Canis lupus familiaris: one gene and its partner. The protein of the gene in region 2 interacts with the protein of the main gene of each other region in a pairwise test. Links are inferred from orthologs where the notes say so. Each region holds a gene or a part of one and is shown on either strand. Other genes may lie near its edges.

Region 1 (7,427 bases), on a different chromosome or scaffold from region 2:
TTGGGGCCTTGCAAAGCCAAAATTCATCTCAAATTTATACAAGGACGTCAGCCTCAGCAGGTGTCTGAACAACTGAGTGATTATGTAAGAACTTAAAATCGTGACAGGGGATAGGTTAACATTTGTCTAGCAGTGAGAGCATGGAGAGATGTACCTAGACATACACACGGTTTAGTAAACGCCATAATTTGCCACGTGGACTAGTCCATACACTCTCTTTAGCTCTTGAAAGCACTGAAGAGATGGATGAGACCTACATCTCATGTGCTCCTGCCTGGGAAAGTCAGGGAGAGGTTTCTCCAGGGTTGTCCAGAGCCCACACCCAAGCAGGCAATGAGCTACAGACGACATGTGCAATTAAGCCCAGAAGCGGCTCTGCCTGCCTTCCTGCTAAGAGAGCACACAGGGCAAAGGGGACCTGCTGCCTCCGGAACACGGAAATGCTCACAGTAGGGGACTGGGTGGAGAGGTGACTCGAGGTCACCATCCCCTCTTCCACTGACCCCACCACCGACTTTGAAACTTCAGGACCATTATCTGCACACAAGACACCGTCCAGGCCCTGAGTATGTGCTAAGGATTTCCCCTGCACTCGCCCAGCCGGGGCCTACTGGTTTTACTGCCAGAAAAGAGATGCCCACTGGGGTCTCCGGCAACGCCACGGATGCCCTAGTGCAGCTCTCCTAACCCGCCCCACCAGGCCTCCAATTAGTGCCATTAAACCTACCTTTCTTTTAGATCGAGTCTCCATCCAACCCCGCAGTGCATTAGGAAGTCTGTCATTTATTTCACTTTTATTGCATTCTGGAATGATTTTTTTTTAATTCCATTATTTCAGAAGGGATTTTAAAGGCGCTAATTGGTACATTCTGAAAAGAGCTACTATATATATATATATATAAAAGAGCTACTAACGAAGCTCTGAGGCAGTGGCATAGATCTATCTCCATCCTGAGAAACATTTTGCGAGGTCAAGGGGCAGAGAGGGAGGCTGAGTGGGCCCGAGGCGGCGGGGGCGGCTGCCTTCGGCCTCTGGGATGTGGTAAGGGAGGCCCGGCGCTGGGCGCCAACACTGCCCACGATCTGGGCGCTGTGTTTACAAATCCGATGCACCCTGGTTGGGTTCCAGGACAAACAAAAAGAGGAGGAACAGAGACAGAGGCTCGTGGTCAGAAACCGGAAACAGAAAGGCCCACTGAGGCAGCTGGTGGGCCAGTCAGACCTGCCCACTGTCATTCTCTCTCCAGTCCCAACGCCCAGCGTCTTCTTTCTCGCTCTCTGTCTGGCTCACTCTCAGGCTGCTTTCTCCACGGGGACCTCAGAGATCACCCCTTCTGTCTGAGCAGGCAGGTGTCCCCACAGAAACCCTCACCCTGGGATCTAAAAATCCACGAGAGTGGGGGACTGCGGCCCTTCCATGCCTGCTTGCACCTGTCTTCGATGGGAGCCCACTGTCTACAGGGTGGCCTCAATCTCCTGAGGAAAGCAATTTCTCTACAAACACCTGCTCAGGGGCTTCTGGGTGGTGTTTAGTCTCTGCCTCCGTGTATTCTTCCAAAGTCTCTATGAATAGGTACGAATGGGCTCCCTAGAGCCGCCATGACCAAGTGGGCCTCAACTATCTATTCCTTGCCATCTTGTTCTGAAGGTGAGAAGTCAGACACGACAGCGTCATCAGGGCCATGCTCTCTCCAGAGGCTCCAGGGAAGAATCCTTCCTTCTTTGCCTCTTCTAGCTTCAGGTGGTAGCCGTCCAGCGCTGCTGGGGCTTTTTGGCTTGTTAGACGTGTCACCCCAATCTCTGCCTCTGCTGCCACAAGGCCTTCTCCCTGTCTCCCCTCTTCTAAGGACACGAGTCATTGAATTAGGGCCCGCCGGACTCCAGTATCACCTCACCTGAACTGATGACACCTCCAACAGCCCCATTTCCAAACAAGGACACGTTCTGAGGTACTGGGGGTGGGGGCTCCCACGTATCTTTTGGGGAGGCACAATTCAACCCATAACATGGTATTTTCAGGGAAAGAAAAAGACATTTTTTGGGGGGGCGGGGGGGGGCTCCTGGCAGAGGACTGAATCATTGAACAAATCTCTCTGAAGAGCTGGTTGCCATCTGCACGTCCTTTCCTCCCTTCGTCCAGAGGAGGCGGAGAAAGACCTGCAAGTGAGAAAGGGAGCAGCCACGTTCCCCAAGAGGAAGCACACCTGGGCCCTGGTTAACCTCTGACCTGGCCCTGTGCCAGGGGATACGCTTCACCTGAGCTGTGCCCCGGCATGGCCCTGCGGAAATAGCGCTCCGGAGGGGCCCACATTCCACACCTCACCAAGGTCAGGACTTTAGAAGCATAAACAAATGCAACTGGGCCAGAACTGAGGCTGCGCCCGAGGGGCAGGGCTGACGCAAAGCAGTGGGAGCTGGACCCCACTCAGGAAGGGAGCGGCAGAGAGTCTGGGAGGGCTTCGTGGTGGCAGCGGCTGGGCCGGGTGCAGAAGGTGAGGGGGACTTGGCCAGTCAGGTGCAGAGGACAAGGAGGCAGGAGAGCCGAGGTGTCCTGCCATCTGCCCGTGTGATTCTGCTTCTTTGGAAACTTCTCATCCTTTAGTTCCTGGGAAATGACAACACCCAAATCTCTTTCTGCTTCTCTAACTCACCGGTCTTGCATGCTCAGCTGCAGGCCTGGCCCGGGGCTCCATCCATGGCTCTCTGCTCTGGGCCATCAGACAAGCTCTCCTTTCCCAGGATTTCAGCACAGCCCCCGCAGAACACTCAGAGGTCTCGGCTTCCCAACCCCCTTGGCTGCCATTCATTTAAGCTTAAAAACTTTACAGTTTCAGCTGCCTTCCCTCCTTTAGTCCCGATATTTAATCAAGCAGCATAGCCTGATTGCTCTTTCCTTTGAAACTGTCACCCTTGTTTCCCCTTCCTCTGTCATTTCCAAAGCTCGATCCAAATGTAAGCCCCATGCTTAGATAGTGAGTGCCTGGTTCTCAAAGCCCCAAACAACACCACCAGCATCACTCGGGAGCCTATTAGGAATGCATATGCCCAGGCTCCACCCAGGCCTACAAGAGCATCAGAAGCTCTGGGGGGTGGGGCCCAGTCATCTGCATGTGAGCAAACCCTCTGGGTGACACCAACACATGAGAGAGTTGGAGAACCTGGGCATTCGTGCAAGAATTTCCCGTAATCCCACAATCCATCCTGAACATGGCCACCAGATTCATTTACTTACAGTCTTCCTTACTGCCAGGTCTCCACTCCAGAACCATCGATGGCTCCCAATTCCCTGCTTTATGAAGGCTTAACTCCACCGAGCCTTTGCAGCTCTGTTATTGAGTTCGAGCTCTCCAAACTTGTCCTCAGCAGATTCCCTAAGACTCTGCATTCTAGTTGTGACAATGTGTTCAGTTTCGAAGCACCATACCCTTTAGCATATGGACACCTGTCCACCCCCACTCACCCATCCTGCCCCACATGGAGTTGGATTAGGACCTTTAGAAACCGTAATCAGAGAAAAGTGGCCGCCCCCCTCCCACGAGTGGAAATAAAAATAAACAATACTTAGGTGTAAAATAATCATGTGGAACTCATCCAGGTTACTGATTCTTTCCCACTTGAACTTGGAAATATAATTTGCTGCTTTAATGATACATTTATCGCATTCATTTTTTTAAAAGTAATTTTTGGTGCCACGCTGCTTTCTACTACTCCAAGCTTGTGCTCAAAAAATCTGATTAATCCAGTTCTGCCTTCGGGGATCCAGATCCTATCTGTCGAGTGCCCTGCTCCTTTTAGAAGCAAAACTGGATAGTGAATGAATGGATGAGCAGTCCTGTCTGCTCAGTTAGTCGGAGGGAAGGCATGTGGTATTTTGTATCTTCTGTTGTTTTCCCTTTCAGCAGCTGTGCCACAGGAGAGTAGTGAGTCCTACCTGACTGCTGGGTCCCTGCATACTGCCCCTTTGATAGACCCGTGTCGTGGGCAGCCTTGCTAACAATATGAATCTGAAGCCTCATGCTCAGACCCATTTTACAGTCCTTTCAGTCAGCAGGCACCTGCTGGATGCTCACCAAAAAATGACAGTTGCCCAGAGGCACGAGACTCTACAGTTAGCAAAGACACCACCCGACCGGTGAGAATTACGCCTGTAAGATGCTTCTCTGAAGTTTAAAAAAAAAGAAAGAAAGAAAAAGTCTCCTTTTACAGTGAATCGATCAGCGCTCAGTGTTGGGACATCACTTATAAACCCAGCCCCGCCTAAATGCCAAATACCTGAGACCTTTTGATAAATGTCTCGGCAGTAAAAATACCCTATTAGAAGTTTTACCCCTCCGATGTGATATACGGGCTCCATCTGGCCCACAAAGGATCATTCTTCGGAGCTGAAGTTTTTACCGGTGAATAAACTGTGCCACTTGGCCTCGGATGGTGTCCAGGACTCCGCAGAGGAGGTGTACCCCCTGATCCGAGCGGAGGATGTCTGGCTGACAAGCCGGGGACACACCCCAGCGGGGCCACCGGAGCCACCCCGCCCTCTCCTCTCGAAGCCCGCTAGCCAGCCTCCCCGCGCTCTGGTCCCACGGCCCCTGGACTCACCCCCCATCCACGGGTTGGAAAGGAGCCTGGTGTCGGGCGGGCCTCCCGGCCTCAGAGACTTGCTGGTCCCGCCTGGAGGCTTGCCGTCCATGGTGCCCCCGGAGCCGGGCAACCTCCGTGTTCCACTTCAATTGCTCAGGAAAGTCCAAATTCCATGTTCTTTCTGCTGCTGGGAATTCCGGAGCCTCGGCCGCACCGTCCTGCTCAGACGGTAGAGAACAGCAGAGCACAGAATGGGCAGGGTAATCCGAGCACTACCTGTGGTCAGACGGACGCGCGCCCAGGCACACACGCGCGCACACACACACGCACGCACACGCTCCACCTAGCCGGCTGGAGGTCGGCCAAAGCCCACAGCGGGCCCCCCAGCCCCAAGTCGGCAAAGTTGCTGATGTCACGTCCTTTCCCAAACTGAGACCAATCAGTGAGGAAGCCTTGGTTTATCAGGAAGGAAAGCCAGTTTGTAACTTTTGGAGAGCAAAGGGAACAGGGTGGGGGGAGGAAACCACGCCCCGCTGCAACGTTGTTGCCTCTGCGGGGATCTGCTTGTTCTTTGGGGGCTCCTCATTGTTGAGAAAGCCCCAGAACCCACGAGCTGAGAAAGCTGGTTTTGCTGCAGCCCGGCTGAACTGCTTGCACAGCAACATGCACAGCACGCCCTGGCCATCTGCACATGTGGTTTCAATTTTTCTGGGAGTTTCTTATGGGAAAATGTGTCTATATGCAACAAAAATGTCCCTTTGGAAAGAACTGCTATTTTCCTACCTCTGACTTCAAGGATTTCACTGCGTGTCCGGCTTTGCCTTTCCTCCCCACATTGTATTGTAACTCCTAAATAAATAATTAATGGTTGCTATTGGAAAATGGATTGCTGGGGGGGCTGGGGTGTGGAAGGAACTTGCTACTTTATTCGTTGTAAGAAGTTTTACCCTGGGAAGGTTCCGCCTATTTGCCTTTACAAAACAGTGGGTCCTTGTCCGTGTGTCTTTCCAGGTGGACTCAGTTTCCCCACACCCCTGGGTGCCACTTCAGGCTGATGGCCAACCCTAGGCTCCCACTGTGCCTCTCTTCCAGGTGGAAGGGCATTTTTCTTCCCAGTTAGGGAAGGCTCTGAGTTCGTCTTAAGCACAGTCTGTGAAATGACTGCGGATTTTTTTTTAATGCCAGAGGTAGCCTCACTGTTTCAGACTTAAGGATCCTCCACTGAAACGCATGGCGGCCACTGTTAACAGGCTGAGGTAGTGTCCTTCCTGTTTTAAAATGCGTTTCTAGGGATCCCTGGGTGGCGCAGCGGTTTAGCGCCTGCCTTTGGCCCAGGGCACGATCCTGGAGACCCAGGATCGAATCCCACGTCGGGCTCCCGGTGCATGGAGCCTGCTTCTCCCTCTGCCTGTGTCTCTGCCTCTCCCTCTCTCTCTGTGTGACTATCATAAATAAATAAAAAAATTAAAAAAAAACACCATCTAAAAAAAATAAATAAAAATGCGTTTCTGTGCAGACATATGCGTGCACGTTTATCCCTTTACATTCTTCACATAAATGTCATTATATTACCATATTGTTCTAGGCCTCTTACACTTACTTCATCTTAGAGATCTTTCCATGTTAGCATATAGAGCCCTCCCTTTCTTTATTCATTACTGTGTAGCATTCCCTATTGTGCCAAAAACCTTTCCTTATTCCTCTATGATGGAGGCAGAATGTTACCATTTCTTTTGCTACTACAAAAAAAAAAATACTGCAGTCCATATTTTTATATAAGTGGCTTTGTGCACAACTGCAAATATTTCTGGAGAAGAGATTCCTAAGAGTGGGAATGCCAGGTCAGAGGTGTGCTTGTACATACGAGATGATTTGTACAGAACTAAAGACACACACAGAAGCGAGTACAAGCCAAACTGGAGCATTCTGAATGAGATCAGTGGTTTGTGTCAGGGTCGATCTCCACTGTACTACAGGTTTGCAGAAAGCTGTCGCTGGGGGAAAGCAGGCAAAGCTACAGGAGACCTCTCTGTATCACTGCTTACAACTGCATGCAAATCCCCAAATATCTCAACACAAATTTCATTTTGGGAAAAAAGGGGCTGTTGCTTTAAGATCGAGAGAAACACTGCCAAATTGCCCTCCGGTGCTTTGCAGAATTAACTGAACAGGCCACAAGCACAGACGTTGTTCGCTACTCCATCAGGAAAGATGTGAAGAACTATAAAACTAGTATTTGGCAGAGACTGAGAAATTTATTCCCAATGTCGACTGGATGACAAGGAGTTAAACAGAGAGGCACAGTGGGGATCCTGAGCATTATTGCCATTCTTTGAGTGAAATCTTCATGGTACAGCTTCTTTATTTACTTCTAATTAAACTCCAAGAAGATAACATTTTTCCATATTCAAATTTAAGTTTATTGTCCAAAATGACAAGAAAGAAAATTTCCAGGTTTTTGCCTTAGTACCTGGGAGGGAACGAATCAGCTTTTAACCTGCTCGCTACGCTTACAATGTCAGTCACCTCTTGTGAATAGTGGAAGATGAGAATTGATTTTTTTAACTGTTTAACCACACTTCCAATCAGGAATTCAAAAATCATTATGAGAGAAGGTCATGCATTTTTAAGGGTCTATATGAGGATAAAGTTGATTTACATGTGCGTGAGCTGTGATTATAGAGGAATAGGTTGGCTTACAACAAGAGAAGGACAACTTAGAAACGTCCAGTCAGTCCTCAGTGTGTGCGCAATGTGTACGTGTGCACACACGCACACCTGTTCCAGAAACTTGGCCCAGGTTAGGTATGAAAAAAGAATTATGGCCTGAAGCAGCAGTAAGGCCACAA
Region 2 (7,429 bases):
CAGGCCACCCATACTCCTCTGACTGCATCTCCTCCCCTGGTCTGCTCAGCTCTGGCCACACTGGTCTCCTTGCTCTTCCTCCAACACACTTCCCCACCTCAGGACCTTTGCACTTGCTGCTCCACCTGCCTGGAAATCTTCAGGCTCCTTTTTGTCAATCAACTCCTCCTTTCTCAGGGAGCTCCCCCCAGCCATTCTATGATGCACCCTTGTTTCTCGGCTACACGGCATTTTGGAATTAATCATTCTTTTGCTGGTTTCTGTGTTTCTTCTTATCTCCCCACCAGGCTGACAGCTCTGTGAAAACAGTGACCTTGTCCATCTTATTCATCATGGGAGCCCCGGCCCCCTACTCAGGACCATGACAACCGTAAACGCTGGTTAGCTGGCTGGCTGGCTGGTTGGATGGATGGATGGATGGAGGTCAGGACCCTGGTGCAATTGAAAGTCTGCATGGATCTGCTCAGGGTTCCTTGACAGCGCCCCCAGACTTCCAGCAGGGGTAATGCTGCCAGCTGTCACTCATCAAGCACCCACGATTTACCCAGTGGTGGGCAGGGTGGGGTTCTCACCTTCTATGGAGAGTTTCTCCACTGCCCGGCGCTCGCCCCGGGAGCAGTGGGGGGGCAGTGTGTAGCCCTTGATGCTACGGCCCGTGCGGACGCGGCTGCTGAGCACATAGTTGGGGTCTAGGTCGTCTCCACCCTGGAGGGCAGGAGGGGGGTCAGGGCTGGGCACGGCCCCCACAAGCCGCCCCTCCACTGCAAGCCCATGTCCTCCCTGGCCCCCCCACCCAGGGCTCCCAGTTCTGACTCTGCTACTTCCTTCGGCTCCTCCTTGCCCACTGGCTTCTCCCACCACCACCCTGGCTCGGCCTCTCCCTTCTCGGCCTCTCCCTCCCTATTTCTCCCAGCCTCTCATCTGCCCCTTTCCTCCATACATCTCTTTTCCCCCGTCCCATTTTTGTCCCGCGTCCGGTTTCTCTTCATCTCTTCCCTGTCTCTCCTCCCATCTGAGTCTCCCCCGCTGTGTCCTGGTCTCCCTGTCTGTCCTGCATGCCTCTCTGTCCCTCCTGCCCTCCATCTCTGCCTCTTGGAGCATCCCTTCCCACCTCCGTCATCCTCCCTCTCTTCCCCATCCCTCCCCTCCCCTGTGGGCAGCTGACCTTGAGGTTCTCATGGTTGAGGTCAGTCTTGTGCTTGTCGGTGGGTTTGTAACCCCCATGCCGGTCCTGGATGATGGGGTCGAAGAGATCCTTGAACACCTGGTAGGACTCCTCGTCACCGGCCACACAGCCCACGGTCATGATGAAAGGGTGACCTGGGGATTTGGGGTAAGGTCAGAGGCGCTTGTGCCCAGCAAGGAAGACCCAGGCTCCTTGGTCCTATAGAAACTGTATGTGCACATGCACACATGTGTGAGTGCGTGTGTGTGTGCGTGTGTGGTCAGCAGGGGTTTATTCGAGACCTGAGTCGGAGCTGCAGAGACTGAAGGTTGTGAGTATGGGGAGGGAAGGCTGGGAAAGGTCCAGGTGGCATCTGGGCAAAGGAGAAAGAGTCTCCGGGGGTCAGTTACAAGGTCCTAAAAATATTACTACTTGAGAGCCCCCAGATCACGGACTCTTTCTTCCCTGAAAAATTTTCGAAATATATTAGATTCTCAGCTCCCACAGATCCTAAGAGGCTTGAAAGATCCTCATCTTCCCAGATGGGGAAACAGAGTCCCCGGCAGGCAGCCCCGCCCGCCCATCCAAGCCCCTGTCCGTGCTCCACCAAGGAGGCTTACCTGGGTTGTCCACACCTGTCTGGATGACATCGTCCAGAGTAAAGCCGGATGGGGTCTCCTTGTCCCGCAGCTTCTTATAGATTTCAGGGGTCAGCGCTTTGGCCATATGGTTGTTGTGCTTGGTGAGGTCAGGGTACTCCTCCTCAGGCTTGTAGTTCAGCTTGAACTTGTTGTGGGTGTTACCGAACGGCATGGTGGCGGCGTGGGGGGGCCTGGGGGGTGGGGCGGGGGGCGAAGAAGGTTATCCCGCATCCAGCAGAGACCAGCAAGGGACCAGGACAAGGTGTTGGGGTCAGAAAGACCTGATGGCCAGTCCTTTTTTTTTTTTAAATATTTTTTAGAAGATTTTATTTATTTATTCATGAGAGACAGAGAGAGAGAGAGAGGCACAGGCACAGGCAGAGAGAGAAGCAGGCTCCATGCAGGGAACCGGACATGGGACTTCATCCCGGGACTCCAGGATCGGGCCCTGGGCCGAAGGCGGCACTAAACCGATGAGCCACCTGGGCTGCCCTGATGGCCAGTCCTGACTCATATGCTGTGTGACTTGGAACAAGAGGGGCCCCTCTCTGAGCCCCTGTGTCTTGACAGGATGCATCAGGACTCTGTGGTTAAGATCCCAGCTCTGCTACACCCTGATGGGTGACCCCAGACGAGTCACCTTGCTAGGGACAGCTTCTCCAGCTGAATGATGAAGGGGGAAGCCTTTGGGATGGAGCAGTAATATTGGCATGGATAAGAGTGTAGATTCTGGAATCAGATAGCCTGGGTTTGAATTCCAGCTCTGTCACATACAGTAAGCTGTGTGACCTTGGGCACCTTGCTTAACCTCTCTGTGCCTCAGATTACTCGTATGTACAAAGGGGGTCATAGTAACCCTCATCTCCGGGGGCGCTTCAAGGAGTTCATGTATGTAAAGCGCTTGGCACACGATAAGCTGTATTTTGCTTAGCTATTATTATAATTTTCGTCGCTATTACTTTAAAAGTCTGGGTAAGGAGCCGGGGAGAAGGTGGAGGGCGTTGCTGGGAACATATGTGCAAGCAGGGAAGGGACACTCTCTCCACGAAGGGTCCCGGGTGCTCGGTCAAGGGATGAGGGGGAGGGTGGAAGGGAAGGCTGCGTGGCCGTCCCCACCTCTGTTTGCTGACCACTCTCCTGCAGGGCTCAGTTGAGAAGAAAAGCCCAGCAGCTGAAGTCAGCAGAGCTGGGTTCAAATCCTGCCTCTACCATTTCCCTTGCTGTGTGACCCCAAGCCAGGTGCTCAGCCTCTCTGAGCCTCTGTCGCCTGTGAACTGAGCCTGGCCTAAGGGATTGCCAAGAAGATTCTTCTGGCTCAGGCACGTGGCCGGCTGAGCACGTGCCCTCACATGGAGTTGGGGCCTGCTCCGTAGGGGGTGGCTGCCGTTACTGGACCCAGGAAGGAGGTGGTGGTGGTCGGCGTGGGAGCTCACTCCGCGGCCCCAGGGATGGGAAGCAGGTAGGACGGTGGGAAGGGAATCGGGACCAGGCGAGCTGAAGGCTGAGGCATCAGGCCAGGAGCGGATGGAATTCACGAAAGATCCTTGGAGCTACTATCCAGGGTTGGGGATTATTTATAGAATCTGGCAGACTGCTCCTCCCCCACCAACCCCCCACATTCCAGGGGCTCCACTTGCACCAAGTCAGCAGGCCGGAGACAGGTGGGCCAGGGTGGCTAGGAGGACACGCATCCAGGCCTCGGGGCTCCAGGGCTTCCAGCCCAGAACCGCCCCCCACTTCAGGGTGTCCCACCCCACCCTGCGAGGAACATGTTAGCAGAGGGCATTGAGGCAAGGTGGGGGGAGCCCCAGAGCCACACACAAGCACACACACACACCCACACACACATCCCCATAACCCCCAGATCACACAGTAAACAGAGTCACACACACATCCCTCCAAGCTCAGGGACACACCCAACATACAGGCACCCATGCAGGAGCTACAGAAAGTCAGACACAAGGTCACACCATTGTGGGATGCAACAGGGACCCACAGAATTGCAAGTGCAATGAACCCACAGTGCTTGCTCTTGCAAACCACGACAGTTGACATACAGACACCTCCCACGGCTTGTGGCGCCCAGTTCTGGTGACAAACCATCATGAACATGGGCCCAGCCTGTAGCCCCTTGCAGGGGGGACAGCTGGCAGCTGTCAGAACTCCTTTTGTCTCCAAGATCCCTTCCCGTGACCCTGTGCCACAGACCCTGTGGGAGGCAGGGGGGCTCACAGGTGGAGGGGACTCCCAGACACGGGGTCAACCTTCCCACACACTGACCCTCCTCTGTGTAGAAGGATATGGGGTAGGCTCCTGAGACCAGATCGGCTGCTGGTGCCATGCACCCCCCGACACTTTGGCCTGGTCTGGACCCCACCCTGATTCCCACCCCCATCAGTACCTGGCTGGGCTGTGCAGAAAGGGGCTGTCTGTATCCTGGAGGTGACACTGACCCAAAGGAAGGGCCCGCAGCCCAGGCCTTATATAGGGGGGCCGGGCTGTGCTATTGGCTGGGAGGGGCTGCCCCCAGGGAAGGGAGCTGGAGGGCAGGCAGCTGAGCCTTCCAGCTCACTGCCCGGGCACGGTGCCCACCCTGAGCCCAGGCACGCCTTGCGCCCAGCCCTATCAGGCCTTGTATGGGCCGCCCCAGGGACTGAGCCCAGATCCCCACCCGCCCCCCATCAAGCTGATTCCCCGACCAAGTGCTGAGTCGGGCTGGCAAGGACAGCTGGCCCCCTGCCCAGGACACGAGACCATGCCAGGGGACGTCCCAAGCACGTAGAAGCCACCCTCCCCTGGCCCTCCAGCCCCTCCTATGGCCCGGCCTCTCCTCAGCCCCCAGTGGCCTTGACCTGGGTAAAAGTTAGGTCTTGAGACGGGCCCCAGGGAAAACCTTGCAACAGTCCCACGAGAGCCAGGTATCTGGTATTCCAGACACTTGCCTGTTGTCACCCAACTATGGGGAACCCTTGGCCAAGGCCCAGGTCTGAAGGCAGAACTGCCTGACCCCAGAAATCCATGTTTGGACGCACTTTCCTCCTTGTGAGTGAGTGGGAGGGAAACTGAGTCTTGCCTGAGCTGAGAAGATTCAAACTCCAGTCCCTGCGGCTGACCCTGGGACGCTTCAGCGGCGGAGGGGACAGAGAGGGACTCACCCCGGAGAGGAGCTTATTTTTAGAGGGCGCTTCGATGTCGCCTTTGCAGAGACCTAGACCCGAGGCGCTGGGGCTGGGGGGAGGCAGGGACAGGTGTTGGGGGGGTGGGATCGCCACGTGTCTGGGTTAATTATAACCGCGTGTCGGGTGTCCCGGGCTCGCCTCCTTACAAGGGCAGCCGCCTGACCGCCCCGCAGGGGAAGGGGGCTGGGCACCCCGGACTCACAGGCCTGCAGATCCCCACGGAGCAGGAGCTCCCCGCCCACGGGGACCTCCAGGGTTGGGGAGCGCAGTCCTTCCCGATTGTAGCACAAGTCCAGGGAGCGCCCTGGATTACAACCAAGAAGACACCTTCGTTTGCCCTCCGGGGTTCCTCCCTCCTCCCGGGTCTCCCGGGTTTCTTCCCAGGCAGGAGGGGTCTGATCTAGGGAAAGGGGCCCCTCTTTGTCTTTTCCCCAGATTCCTGGTGGGGAGGGGGCGCTTAGAAAACTTTACCTTGGGGCTTAGCCCCTGATCTCTCCACCCACTGTCCCTTCCCACCAAGGTCAGAGTGACAAAGTTCTTGTTCCAGGCCCAGAGAACTAAAAGGAACCAGACTAGAATAGGAAGGCATGTATCATGTCAACAATTTTTTTTAAGATTTTATTTATTAGAGAGAGAGCATGATGTTCAGGAGGAGGGGTCGAGGGGAGGGAGAAGCAGACTTCCCAGTGGGCAGGGAGCCCTGGGCTCCATCCCAGGACCCTGGACTCACAACCTGAGCCAAAGGCAGAGGCTTAACTGACTGAGCCACGCAGGTGCCCCAACAATTCTTTATTAAGCACTTATGGGGGACACAGCAGAAAACAACAAAACCGTTGGTCTCATGGAGGTGACATTGTAGTGAGCATGAACAAGTAAGTATATGCTGTCATGGCAGGGACAACAGGGCTTTGACAGGAAATCAAAGAGAGTAAAGGGTCAGAGTGATGGCACAGCAGGGGAGGTCAGGTCAGGCCTCTAGGGGGAAGTGACATCTGAGCAGAGACCTGAGGGAGAGGTGAGAGCCAGCCATGTGAGGATCTGGAAGGGGAACAGCAGGTGCAAAGGGCCTGAGGTAGGAGTGGCTTGGCATATCTGAGAGACAGGAAGAGGCCAGAGGACTGGAGCAGATGGGCCAGAGGGGAGAGTGGAAAGAAGAAGATGAGAGATAGAAGCAGACCTGTAGGACCCTAGGGGCCATGGAGGAGTTTCCATCCCACCGTGGATGGATGGGAGCCACTGAGGGCTGTGAGCAGGGGAGAGACACGATCCAGCCACATCACATGCACACACAGGATCCAGCCCAGCCCCCACCCCCACCCTGGAGCCCTAGTAGCCACTTACTGGCACATTTGACATTCCATTTGGCCATACAGCCCTTTCTGTGTTTGGAGAGTTTCCCACCCTATAACAGCCTCCTTTAGAGAAGCCTAAAAGGTCAGAAACTCAGTTTCCCAGAATCCTTTGCAGCAACGTTCTAGTCATGTGACCCGGCTGAGGGACACACCCCCCCCAACACTTCAGTCATGAACTCTACTCCTTTTTTTTTTTTTTTTTAATTTTTTTTTTTATTTATTTATGATAGGCACACAGTGAGAGAGAGAGAGGCAGAGACACAGGCAGAGGGAGAAGCAGGCTCCATGCACCGGGAGCCCGATGTGGGATTCGATCCCGGGTCTCCAGGATCGCGCCCTGGGCCAAAGGCAGGCGCCAAACCGCTGCGCCACCCAGGGATCCCTCTACTCCTTTATCTTCTTTGAGTCTCATAGAAATAGTTGGCTTTGGGGAGCCAAGACCCCCATGGTGTACCTTTACCCCAACCCCCAACCCTCCAAAGCCTGTCAGTCTCCAAGGCCCGTCCATCCTTCCTCCTACCCTAGCTCCAGACCTCTCCACATTCCCTTCCACCCTAGCCTCCCCCCAGGTCAGCCCCAGTCTGTCCCCTCCCACCTCGTCCCTGCCTTCTGACTACCCCTGCTTAGAACCCACCGTGGCTTCCCAGCGCCCTCAGGATAAATGAGTATTTGTTGACTAAGGAAATAATAGTAGCCTTTTCAGTCGATTGGAAACTACTCTCCCCAGTTTATGCAGAAAGGGCCTCACCCCAGATATTAGGATCTTTCAAAATAATTGAAAGGATTGAAGGAGCACACTCTGGGCTGAGCCACTAGGAACATCTCTCACCCCCAGAACCATGCTCCATTTGGAAAGTTGAACATGCCAGAAAGAGGTTAGCATGGATGTTGAGTGGCCACTCCACAGTCCCCACCCTAACCGCTATTATGGAACAGTCCCAAATATCAAGTAGAATGCTAAGTGCTTTGCATATATCAACTCATTTAACACTCCCAACAATAAAGCTCAAAAAGGTTAAATGACTTACCCAAGGTCACACAGCCAGGAAAGGGGCAGAGCTGGGAATCAAATTGGCACAGGGCTGCCAAGAA

Evidence for each region. The genes of interacting proteins can lie anywhere in the genome.
Region 1: the proteins of CKM (region 2) and ASB9 interact in binary tests that used the Homo sapiens proteins (3 or more experiments, as listed by UniProt). The two-hybrid records come from large-scale screens. The link is inferred for Canis lupus familiaris from reciprocal best matches to the Homo sapiens genes CKM and ASB9.

What each region holds. Positions count from the first base shown.
Region 1 is NC_049260.1:11,572,766-11,580,192, forward strand, and holds the start of ASB9 (ankyrin repeat and SOCS box protein 9), read right to left. Parts: upstream 5,003-7,427; 5' UTR 4,688-5,002; coding exon 4,597-4,687; intron 4,389-4,596; exon of another isoform or gene 4,374-4,388; coding exon of another isoform or gene 4,328-4,373; intron 1-4,327. UniProt on the Homo sapiens protein: Substrate-recognition component of a cullin-5-RING E3 ubiquitin-protein ligase complex (ECS complex, also named CRL5 complex), which mediates the ubiquitination and subsequent proteasomal degradation of target proteins.
Region 2 is NC_049222.1:110,917,368-110,924,796, reverse strand, and holds the start of CKM (creatine kinase M-type), read right to left. Parts: upstream 4,257-7,429; 5' UTR 4,208-4,256; intron 3,266-4,207; exon of another isoform or gene 3,164-3,265; intron 1,998-3,163; 5' UTR 1,979-1,997; coding exon 1,786-1,978; intron 1,321-1,785; coding exon 1,166-1,320; intron 706-1,165; coding exon 573-705; intron 1-572. UniProt on the Homo sapiens protein: Reversibly catalyzes the transfer of phosphate between ATP and various phosphogens (e.g. creatine phosphate).